4 linked regions of the Saccharomyces cerevisiae S288C genome follow. The protein of the gene in region 1 binds, or shares a complex with, the protein of each later gene. Each region holds a gene or a part of one and is shown on either strand. Other genes may lie near its edges. The genes, in order: MRPL36, IMG2, MRPL38 and MRPL35.

Region 1 (3,108 bases):
TGAAAGAAGCCTTTAAAGAACATGGACCTATCGAATCTCAGCACGGATTACAACTGTACTTAAACGATGATACTGATAGCGACGGATCCAAGAGCTATTTTAATGAGCATCCTGTAATTGGTAAAAGAGTTCCCTTCAGAGATGAGTCGGTCATATTAAAGGTTACAATGCCTAAGGGAACTTTAAGTAAAAATAATAATAGCGTCAAAGATTCTATCAAATCCTTAAAAGATTCGAATAAATTGAGAGTCACTCCTGTTTCCATAGTAGATAACACTATAAAATTTAGAGAAATGTCAGATTTTCAAATCAAACTGGATAATGTCCCCTCTGCAAGAGAGTTCAAAAGTAGCTTTGGCTCTCTGGAATGGAATAATTTCAAAAGTTTTGTCAATTCTGTACCAGATAATGACTCTCAACCTCAGGAAAACATCGGGAATTTGATCTTAGACCGTAGCGTTAAAATTCCGAGTACAGATTTCCAACTGCCGCCACCTCCTAAGTTATCAATGGTTGGTTTCCCCCTGCTTTATAAATATAAAGCTAATCCATTTGCGAAAAAAAAAAAAAACGGTGTCACAGAAGTGAAGGGAACATATATCAAAAACTATCAGTTGTTTGTTCATGATCTTAGTGATAAGACAGTTATACCGTCCCAAGCTCATGAACAAGTCCTGTACGATTTTGAGGTCGCGAAGAAAACAAAAGTCTATCCAGGCACTAAAAGTGACTCTAAATTTTATGAATCGCTGGAGGAATGCTTGAAAATTTTGAGAGAGCTCTTCGCTAGACGTCCAATTTGGGTTAAAAGACATCTTGATGGGATTGTCCCGAAGAAGATACACCATACTATGAAGATAGCGCTGGCACTCATATCTTATCGTTTCACAATGGGGCCTTGGAGAAATACATATATCAAATTTGGTATAGACCCCAGAAGTTCAGTGGAATACGCCCAATATCAAACAGAATATTTTAAGATTGAAAGGAAATTACTATCTTCTCCCATAGTGAAAAAGAATGTACCAAAGCCACCACCCCTGGTATTCGAATCAGACACTCCAGGCGGTATTGACAGCAGGTTCAAATTTGATGGAAAAAGAATACCGTGGTACCTGATGTTGCAGATTGATTTATTAATTGGTGAGCCAAACATTGCAGAAGTTTTTCACAACGTCGAATATTTAGATAAGGCGAATGAACTAACTGGATGGTTCAAAGAATTAGACTTGGTCAAGATAAGAAGGATAGTAAAATACGAACTTGGTTGCATGGTTCAAGGAAATTATGAGTATAATAAATACAAGTTGAAGTATTTCAAGACAATGTTATTTGTTAAAGAATCCATGGTACCCGAAAACAAGAACTCAGAAGAGGGAATGGGTGTTAACACCAATAAAGATGCTGATGGGGACATAAATATGGATGCAGGTAGTCAAATGTCCTCAAATGCCATAGAGGAGGATAAGGGTATCGCTGCTGGTGATGATTTTGATGATAATGGCGCCATAACTGAAGAGCCAGACGACGCTGCTTTGGAAAATGAAGAGATGGACACTGATCAGAACTTGAAGGTGCCTGCAAGTATAGACGATGACGTGGATGACGTTGATGCAGATGAAGAAGAACAAGAAAGTTTTGATGTTAAAACAGCGAGCTTCCAAGATATCATAAATAAAATAGCTAAACTAGATCCTAAAACCGCGGAAACAATGAAAAGCGAGCTCAAGGGATTTGTTGATGAAGTCGATCTGTAATAAGTAGGTTTTCTTTTATTTCAATATCAAAATATGCCAAATGTGCAATAAAACCATAACTACGTATGTGATATTTCTGAGTTTTGTCCCCAAACCGTAAAGAGCGATTATCTCGTGCAAAATGCATCAAAATCAAATAACTAAAATGAAAGGGTATCATTATTATTCCTAAAAGTTAAGAATGCCTCCAGAAAGAACGGGTACCAACGCAAACGAACACACGTTTTGTTCACTCCTAATGTTGAAGTCTATATTTGCGAAGCGATTTGCTTCCACAGGGTCATATCCTGGTTCTACAAGAATTACTTTGCCAAGAAGGCCTGCAAAAAAAATTCAACTGGGGAAGTCACGACCGGCTATTTATCACCAATTCAATGTCAAAATGGAGTTGAGTGATGGAAGTGTAGTTATCCGGAGATCCCAATATCCAAAGGGTGAAATTAGATTAATTCAAGACCAGAGAAATAATCCGCTGTGGAATCCTAGCAGGGATGACCTAGTCGTTGTGGATGCTAATTCTGGTGGTAGCTTGGACAGATTTAACAAGAGGTATAGCTCTTTGTTTTCTGTCGATTCAACGACCCCAAATTCAAGCTCTGAAACAGTTGAACTATCTGAAGAAAATAAAAAGAAAACACAGATTAAAAAGGAGGAGAAGGAAGACGTTTCTGAAAAAGCGTTCGGTATGGATGACTATCTATCTCTGTTAGACGATAGTGAACAACAGATCAAATCAGGTAAGTTGGCCAGTAAGAAGAGAGACAAGAAGTGAATAGTGTTTGCTCCCCTTACTTTTCTATTCTCGAACCAATTTATATTCCTTTTGGGACATAGATCTCAATCGCATCTGTTTGAAGACTACATAAACAGCCTTGTATATACCGCAACATATACACATACGTCTACATATGTATATATTGACAACGAAGATTCTGCGAACGCTTGGTTTGGCGCTATCGCGATAGATTAAGTGCAACAAGACACACATTTACAAACATAATATGAACCAGATATGATTCATGGATTATCGAGGCAAATGGTCTGTGAATGAAGCTCACTTACGCTGCAATAAGCAGCAACGGCATTGTAGTGATCATTTTCTACGCCTCGTAATATTTCAGCGCAGTGGAAAAAAATTGAAAATTTTTACTCTTCTCGAGTGTTGAATCACTGCTGCGATACTTATCACGTACTTTGTATACATAATTTTACTTGCAATTAGGACTCGAAATCTGTTCAATTACTTTTGAGGATTTCTTTTATTTTAGTTTCCCTTTTTGCATTCGTGTTGATTTTCAAGAAAAATTGTCGTTCTTCAATATCAGTAGACGATTTTACTCTCAGATTGTTA
Region 2 (2,543 bases), on another chromosome or scaffold:
GACCTGATTCTAACACCTCGGAATTCATCATCACCACTAAAGCCGATGGAAATGAGGAATTGGATGGCAAAAGTGTCGTGTTTGGTCAAATAACTTCTGGTCTAGATCAACTAATGGATGCTATTCAATACACAGAAACAGACGAATATGGAAAGCCTCAGCATGAATTACGGTTCCTGTATTTCGTTCTAGAAATCTTAAAAATTAGTAACATCTTAGATTTGCACGCTGCGTACACAGAAAAAGTCGAGAAGTTTAGAAATGGCGATGTGTCTGTTGGCTCCACTTTGGAAAACATCTTCCGTAACGATAAAGCCTACACACCTTTAACCACCTCCACTGGAACCACCGCCTATGATTTAAACCACCCAATTTCCAGAGCCTTGATGTGTTTAACTGTTCTTGGCCTTTGTTTCATTGCCTACAAGGGCATGCACGAAAAGCCTCATACGGTTTCATTAAGACACAAGTAAGCAACTTCTTTTCGATGGCTTGATGACCACATGGCTATGATTTTAATTAATATATATACATGACAATTATTTTTTTATACATTAGCGATACCTAAAATTTCTTGGTTAATACCCTTTTGACAGCCTCTACTGCATTGCCCTTGATAATAATTTTTTTCGATTGCATCACCACAGACCATGATTTTTTGGGTATGAAAGGCAGTTGCTCCTGCAAGTCATTTCTTAGTTGAATTACATCTCCTTCAATCTTTCTGATCTCCGTGATAATCTTGTTACCTCCATTTTTATAAGCGGAATACACCGGTAGATTTCCGGTCCTGCTTCTCTCCACGTAGTAGGTCTTTTTACCAAAATTGTTGTTTCCTATGAGCTCATGCATCTTCACGTCTTCCAGCTTTGGAAATATTGGCGCCTCAGCAGCTTTATTTGAATTAGTGGATATACATCTTATCGTTTGGTATATCGAGGCAGTGGCAGGCCCTGGAAGGCATTTACCCCTACCAAAACATCTAGTAACACACGAACTGATCATAGTTTTGCTCACACGCTACCTTGGAGTAAGTTGCTTTAGGTAAACGGGCACTTCTTTCAAAAGGTTTTCCTTCTTGCTGGAGCTATACTGCTTATAGTACCATATTTTAAATTCATACCAAGCCATTCGTACGCGATGACCATTATAGATCGACCTTGCGACACCATCATATTTAATATTCAAAAAGAAAAAAATGCAGTTCTATATCACAGTTATATAATATTTATATGTGCATGTATGTTACTTGTCTTTGCACATAACTCAATGCGTCCACAATCTTACCATCTTGTCTTTCCCACCACTACACACTCTTTTACCGTCGACACTCCAGTCGACGGTATAAACTTCGTCTTTATGACCAGGGAGGTCAACAGAAAGTTTTCTAGTTCTTACATCCCACACTTTCAACGTGGTATCTTTGGAACATGACACCAGTAGTCGGCAGTCCGATGACCACGCAACCTGGTATACGCTGGCTACATGCCCTCTAAATGTGGAGATAAACTTACCATCTCTACCGTCCCAAAGTTTGATAGAGTTATCAAAAGACGCTGAGACAATATACCTACCATCAGGGCTGAACGCCACATGATTGACTAATTTTTGGTGACCGGTCATTCTTGCTATAGGCTTGGTAGATTTTAGTGGGTTCCATAAAAACATGGTATAATCATCGCTTGCAGTAACCATCATTTCTTCTGAATTTCCATTCTTTTTACAGATTTTTTCATAATTTTCCAATGCCTTTTTCTGGGCTTCTTCTGGTGTAGAAGGCTTCTTACCTGTATGATCGAATGCACCAATGCGCAATGCGTAATCTGTAGATAAAGATAAGTGATTAACCCAGTGCGCATGCGACTTCAAAATGTTGATACATCTGCCCTGCGAATTGATGTCCCATACACGTACGGTTCTATCGTGAGAGCCACTATACAATAGACCTTGGCCGCCCCATTTGACACAAGACACTGAATTTGTGTGACCACTCATCGTATACTGGCAAACTCTGCTCACAGTGTCCCAAATCTTAATAGTACCATCCTTAGAAGATGAAGCTAATCTTGGTTTGGAGCCCGGCTTCACAAGATGTATAGGTTCCCAACTTAAAGAAGTGATCCACTTGGAATGACCTCTGAGAGCATCACCTAGACACTGACCGCTTTTTGGGTCCCATAATCTTATGGTATTGTCCATGGATCCCGTAGCAATTACTTCTCCATCGGGGGACCAGGAAACGCAGAGAACCCAATTGTAGTGACCCTTTAGAGTATGCATTGGCGTTTGGGTGTCACAGTCCCAAATCCTTGCAGTATTATCACCTGCACCGGTTACCATCCTAGAACTCGTATGTGGTGCGAAGGCAGAACACAAAATTGTGGAACCGTGACCTGCAATGGCTGATGAACTTCTAGTTACCGGCTTGACTTTGAAAACTGCTCTTGGCGTATACAGTAGCGTGATCTGATCTTCTGTACTGTTATAGCCTGGTTTTATTAATGAAGAATATAGGTTATCTGTTATATCAATCGTCTTCACAG
Region 3 (2,828 bases), on another chromosome or scaffold:
TGAATTCGAACCCATTGAGTGGAAGCGCAGGTGGCAGTGCGAGACCAGACGATAAGGGTATGGAAATACTAGGTCATCGGTTGGGTAAAATCATAGGTTTCGGCGCATGGGGGATCATACGGGAATGCTTTGATATTGAAACTGGTGTTGGTAGAGTGATAAAAATTGTGAAGTTCAAAGGACACCAAAATATCAAGAAACATGTGCTGAGAGAAGTAGCCATATGGAGGACTTTGAAGCATAACAGAATACTCCCCCTTTTAGATTGGAAGCTTGATGACAACTATGCAATGTATTGTTTAACGGAAAGAATTAACGATGGTACCTTATACGACTTGGTAATATCTTGGGACGAATTCAAACGTTCGAAGATACCATTTGCAGAGAGATGCAGATTGACCATTTTTTTAAGCTTACAACTATTATCTGCATTAAAGTACATGCATTCCAAAACGATTGTTCATGGTGACATCAAATTAGAAAACTGTCTGTTACAAAAAGAAGGTAAAAAATCGGATTGGAAGGTTTTCCTATGCGATTTTGGAATGAGTTGCCACTTCGATGAGAAGCATGTTTATCGTAACGATACTTTTGATGAAAACTTGAGTAGTGGCAACAGCCATAGAAAGAGAAAAAGTATTGAACAAACTAATTTGATAAAGTATCCCACAACCAATTTTTTACCTGACGACCGAACTAATGATTTTGACGCTAGTGAAAACTTAAAATACCAATTTGAAAATCGAAAGCATCAACCGTTTACACCAAAAGGAATGGTTAGCTCCAGTTCACATTCATTAAAGCATCTCAATCAACCATCCTCTTCTTCTTCTTCTAATCTATTTCACAAGCCAGCCTCTCAACCTCAACCACAGCATCGGAGTCCCTTTCATGGGAGGCACAAGACAACCGATTTTTCAAACCTGGAACCCGAACCTTCTAAATATATCGGATCTCTGCCTTACGCTTCGCCAGAACTTCTAAGATACTCAGATGCAAGACGTTCAAAATCAGTTGAAATGCATATTTATGATTCACCAGACTCCTCTCAATCGGAAATTAGCGCAGCATCATCATCTTCCTCTAATTTATCTTCTCTATCATCCTCTACAAAGGCGTCCGCAGTCACGAATTCCGGTGTAACTACAAGTTCACCGTCTGGTTCATCGACTGATTTTCCATGTATTGTTTCTCCTTTAGGACCAGCATCCGATATTTGGGCCTTGGGAGTAATGCTATATACAATGTTAGTAGGAAAATTACCCTTTAATCATGAGTTCGAACCTAGGTTACGCTCTCTGATTAAAGTAGGCGAATTTGACCGATTTTCTTTAGCTCAGGTCTGTAAATTTGACAGGAAAAAAAATGAAGGAACGATTGGTCAAGGCTTGTATGACACAGTCATTGGATGTTTGACGATTGACTTGGATAAGAGGTGGAAATTGAAAAGGATTGAAGAAGTCCTTCAAAACGAAATGAACCTAAGCGAGGCCATTCACGATAATAATGGCTCATGACTTATGATTAATGATATTGATTGCATTGAAAAAATACATACATTGTGCTTACTTTTTTTTCTCCCATTTTATAAATTATAACGAACTTCATAATTACTATTACGAAATATGTAAATAAGTATTTTTATCGCATATTTGATGCCTCTATCACTTATTTGGCGCTATTCATTGCGACTCGTGCAACGTGCGAAAACTCAGAATATTTTTTTGAACAGCCTTAAATCATGTTGCTAAATGACGGATGGAAGAAAAGGGACCTATAGAAGAGTTCGGATAAATTGTGAAGCGTGGATATTGGCATAGCGGATTTGTAGAACGGTGTGTCGTCAACCCTTTGAGATCTGGATAAGCCATATTTTCTAACATCACAACATGATATTTCTAAAATCTGTCATCAAGGTAATCGACAATTCAGGTGCACAATTAGCAGAATGTATTAAAGTAATAAGGAAAGGGTCCCCCAAGAGTCCTGCAATGGTTGGAGACAGAATAGTCTGTGTTATACAGAAAGCAAAGCCCTTGACTCAAAACATTACGGGGACAGCCAACACCAACCGTGTCAAAAAAGGTGATATTTGTCACGCAATTGTCGTAAGGTCTAAACAGCGTAACATGTGCAGAAAGGATGGCTCCACCGTTGCATTCGGAGATACTGCTTGCGTTTTGATTAATAAAAATACCGGTGAACCTCTGGGGACAAGAATTATGGCTAATGATGGTTGTGTAGATAGAACACTGAAAGACAAGGGATACAATAAGATATGCTCTTTGGCAAGTAGGGTCATATAAGAATAAAAGTACCCCCATTTTCCATTCATTAACGTTATAATCAAGGGACTGTAAACCAGCAAAAGAGCTTTGTCGTCATTATTTAATTAACCACCTGTATATATTGCTTAAATTTTAATGTATGACTTTAACTTTGAAAACGCATGAACGTGCTGCTGACGTTCTACTCATTGGAGTTGTATTCTTTTTCTTGTCTTATTCTATAATTGCATGCCGTGAATATTGTATACAAGATATTTATGTGGAATCATATATTAGGCAGCAATTCGTACTTTTCATCCACTGCATATCTAAAAGTTTGCCAACAGAAATCCTTTTTCTTGGTTCCCATTGAAAGATGCGATATAATGCGATTTTTCTATTTGTGGCCAACTCTGAGTTTACGTGCTTTAATTCTTCGAATACCCTAAACTGGTTTTTACGCTGCATTTCCTTGTAAAATTCATCATAAGACATATCTTTTTCTCTCGAAGCTACTTTCCAAAGATAATGCCCCAATATCATTGTTATATAAACAACGCC
Region 4 (3,315 bases), on another chromosome or scaffold:
GAAAGCTATAGACTCCTCTCAAACTGCCGGCTATCATGTTGACCTGACCATCCAAGATCTATTGGATGCCATTCCAGATATATCCAAGGTCTGTGACATTGAATATGAGCAACTATGCAACGTGGATTCTAAAGACATAAACGAGGATATTCTTTATAAAATTTATAAGGGCGTCTCAGAATCGTTGCAGGCTTTTGACGGTATAGTTATTACCCATGGGACTGATACGCTATCTGAAACTGCATTCTTTATTGAAAGTACTATTGATGCTGGCGACGTTCCTATTGTTTTTGTTGGTTCGATGCGTCCTTCAACCAGCGTTTCTGCTGATGGCCCTATGAACCTTTACCAAGCAATTTGCATTGCTTCAAATCCAAAATCTAGAGGAAGAGGTGTTCTTGTTTCCTTGAATGACCAAATTTCCTCTGGTTACTACATTACTAAGACGAATGCAAATAGTTTGGATTCTTTTAATGTTAGACAAGGCTATTTAGGAAATTTTGTCAACAATGAAATTCACTACTATTATCCTCCTGTGAAACCGCAAGGTTGCCACAAATTCAAACTGAGAGTGGACGGTAAGCATTTTAAATTACCAGAGGTTTGCATTTTATATGCTCACCAAGCCTTTCCGCCAGCTATAGTCAACTTAGTGGCAGATAAGTATGATGGTATTGTTCTTGCTACCATGGGTGCTGGTTCATTGCCGGAGGAGGTCAATGAAACCTGCATGAAATTGAGTTTGCCGATCGTATATTCCAAGAGATCGATGGATGGTATGGTGCCTATTGCCAACGTACCAAAGAAAGGTTCAAAGGAGGATAATCTCATCGCATCTGGTTATCTAAGCCCTGAAAAGAGCAGAATCTTGTTACAATTATGTTTGGCAGGTAACTACACGTTGGAAGAAATTAAACATGTTTTCACTGGCGTCTATGGTGGGTGAAAATTTTGTAATTTTTTGCATTTGTGTCGATATATATATATATATACATAGACACAGAGATAGAGATATAATTATGCAAGTCCCTGTTAATGCTAGTCTGAGATGAGTACAGGAATTCTTCATTTAGATTGTCTCGGCTATGTCACTTTTCTATCGTTTCACCTGCACATGGCTTTGTCTTGAATACTGAAGCCGTTATTATAGTTCTATCTTCATGTTTTTAGAGGTTTTTTTTAAATGAGTTTATTAAAATTAAATTTTGAATGTTATTTTTGAATAAAAATATAAAAAAAATAATATTAATAATTTTTCATTAACTGCTCATGATATCAGTGCATTAGAAAATCTTTTGGTTCCACTTTTCCTATAAAAATAATTCAAGTTTTATCATTATATCATTTTTAAATATTTGATTATCATCGCCCGCTGGTCACCGCATTTTTAAAGAATAAATATTACTTTTTTCGAAATCTGGTGTTTAAATATTTTTAAGAAAGTTAAAAAATAAGGAATATTTGATAAACAAAAAAAAATTAGCCTTTATATATCCATTTTTGTTTATGTATTCCTTTTTTTATTTTCTTATGTGTTTGGGATTTACTGTCGCAGTCTTTTCAAATTTTCCGGGCTAAACCGGAAGCCGGAAGGTCTGGGATAAGACAACAGTATCCAATACAATATCAGACTACAGCAAAAAGCTTATTCAGAGATCTTTACAGAAATCAAGGTCACTGCCGAACTATGTTACGAAGATCTATTCATACCACTAAAATCCTCCAAAAACCTAATGCTACTTCGCATATTTGGTCGGACTTTACCACAAGGCCTAGTTCACTTTCTATCCAATCTTCAAAAGTGAAAAATTACCTTTTCCAGAAGAAAGCTTCTCTAGACCCACCATCTATCAGCAGAAGAAGTAACCGTATCAAATATTCACCTCCAGAACACATTGATGAGATTTTCAGGATGAGTTATGATTTTCTTGAGCAAAGATCCAGTAAGTTTTATGAGTTGGCCAATAAGACTAAAAATCCCTTGAAGAAGGATGCACTTCTCATAAAAGCAGAGATCAATAATCCTGAGGTACAATACAATTTTCAGTTTAATAACAAGTTGAACAATGTTAAGGATATAATAGATTATGATGTGCCAGTGTACAGACATTTGGGGAAACAACATTGGGAATCGTACGGCCAGATGTTATTGATGCAAAGGTTAGAAACGTTGGCTGCCATTCCTGATACTCTTCCAACTCTGGTTCCACGGGCAGAAGTGAATATCAAATTTCCCTTCTCTACTGGTGTAAATAAGTGGATCGAACCTGGTGAATTTCTATCGTCCAATGTCACATCCATGCGTCCCATTTTCAAAATTCAAGAATATGAACTTGTGAACGTTGAAAAACAATTGTATACGGTACTGATAGTCAATCCTGATGTTCCAGATTTGAGTAATGACTCATTTAAAACGGCTTTGTGTTACGGATTGGTGAATATTAATTTGACTTATAATGACAATTTAATAGATCCAAGAAAGTTCCACAGTTCTAATATTATCGCTGACTACTTACCTCCGGTACCTGAAAAGAATGCTGGAAAACAGAGATTCGTTGTTTGGGTATTCAGACAACCCTTAATCGAGGATAAGCAAGGTCCTAACATGTTAGAGATTGACCGAAAGGAACTAAGTAGAGATGATTTTGATATCAGGCAATTTACGAAGAAATACAATCTAACCGCTATTGGGGCACATATCTGGAGAAGCGAATGGGATGCCAAAGTCGCCGCCGTCAGAGAAAAATATGGCCTACCACCTGGAAGGGTTTTTAGCAGAGTTAGAAGGTGATCCTAAATAGTATGACATTATAGTATCCTGTACATATAAAATAACGTGTCATTGTTAATAAAGCTTGATGCAAATAATATAAAGTAAGAATCTGAAAAATTTTTGGAATGTGAATTTTGTTTACAATACGATACGTATGATATTAGTATGTTCTAGAATATATACATTTCATTTTTTTCCTTATTGTTTGTGCACTAACGAATGAAGAAAAAAATATGGAACATCTAGCGAACGAGAATCCATCATAACTTCGTCATTCAGTGCGAGCTAATGTGCATTTTTAGTATCCTATTTATGTTGAAGCTTCTATTTATGTTGAAGCTTCCTTCAGGGATTCAACGGCGTTAAGAATAACTCTTTCAAAATCTATATTAGGATCTTCCAAATTAAATGAGGCGTTCGCAGGCACATCTTTAGGAGTTACTACAGGGTGTAGCTTGGCGTATTCCTTCTTTGCCTCCTCTACCAGCTTCAATTTCTCCTCGTACTGTGCCTGCTCCTCTTTCTTCTTAGCATTACACTTC

What was found.
Region 2: MRPL36 (region 1) and IMG2 share a complex: the UniProt entries of both Saccharomyces cerevisiae proteins name them as parts of the mitochondrial large ribosomal subunit.
Region 3: MRPL36 (region 1) and MRPL38 share a complex: the UniProt entries of both Saccharomyces cerevisiae proteins name them as parts of the mitochondrial large ribosomal subunit.
Region 4: MRPL36 (region 1) and MRPL35 share a complex: the UniProt entries of both Saccharomyces cerevisiae proteins name them as parts of the mitochondrial large ribosomal subunit.

The regions. Positions count from the first base shown.
Region 1 is NC_001134.8:483,391-486,498, reverse strand, and holds MRPL36 (mitochondrial 54S ribosomal protein bL31m MRPL36), read left to right. Parts: upstream 1-1,995; coding exon 1,996-2,529; downstream 2,530-3,108. Other genes in the region: transcription factor TFIIIC subunit TFC1, read left to right, coding at 1-1,757. UniProt on the Saccharomyces cerevisiae protein: Component of the mitochondrial ribosome (mitoribosome), a dedicated translation machinery responsible for the synthesis of mitochondrial genome-encoded proteins, including at least some of the essential transmembrane subunits of the mitochondrial respiratory chain.
Region 2 is NC_001135.5:239,539-242,081, forward strand, and holds IMG2 (mitochondrial 54S ribosomal protein mL49 IMG2), read right to left. Parts: upstream 1,006-2,543; coding exon 565-1,005; downstream 1-564. Other genes in the region: peptidylprolyl isomerase family protein CPR4, read left to right, coding at 1-473; RSA4 (Rsa4p), read right to left, coding at 1,267-2,543. UniProt on the Saccharomyces cerevisiae protein: Component of the mitochondrial ribosome (mitoribosome), a dedicated translation machinery responsible for the synthesis of mitochondrial genome-encoded proteins, including at least some of the essential transmembrane subunits of the mitochondrial respiratory chain.
Region 3 is NC_001143.9:128,745-131,572, forward strand, and holds MRPL38 (mitochondrial 54S ribosomal protein uL14m MRPL38), read left to right. Parts: upstream 1-1,889; coding exon 1,890-2,306; downstream 2,307-2,828. Other genes in the region: protein kinase NNK1, read left to right, coding at 1-1,517; putative serine/threonine protein kinase KKQ8, read right to left, coding at 2,544-2,828. UniProt on the Saccharomyces cerevisiae protein: Component of the mitochondrial ribosome (mitoribosome), a dedicated translation machinery responsible for the synthesis of mitochondrial genome-encoded proteins, including at least some of the essential transmembrane subunits of the mitochondrial respiratory chain.
Region 4 is NC_001136.10:1,108,902-1,112,216, forward strand, and holds MRPL35 (mitochondrial 54S ribosomal protein mL38 MRPL35), read left to right. Parts: upstream 1-1,687; coding exon 1,688-2,791; downstream 2,792-3,315. Other genes in the region: asparaginase ASP1, read left to right, coding at 1-946; TIM11 (F1F0 ATP synthase subunit e), read right to left, coding at 3,102-3,315. UniProt on the Saccharomyces cerevisiae protein: Component of the mitochondrial ribosome (mitoribosome), a dedicated translation machinery responsible for the synthesis of mitochondrial genome-encoded proteins, including at least some of the essential transmembrane subunits of the mitochondrial respiratory chain.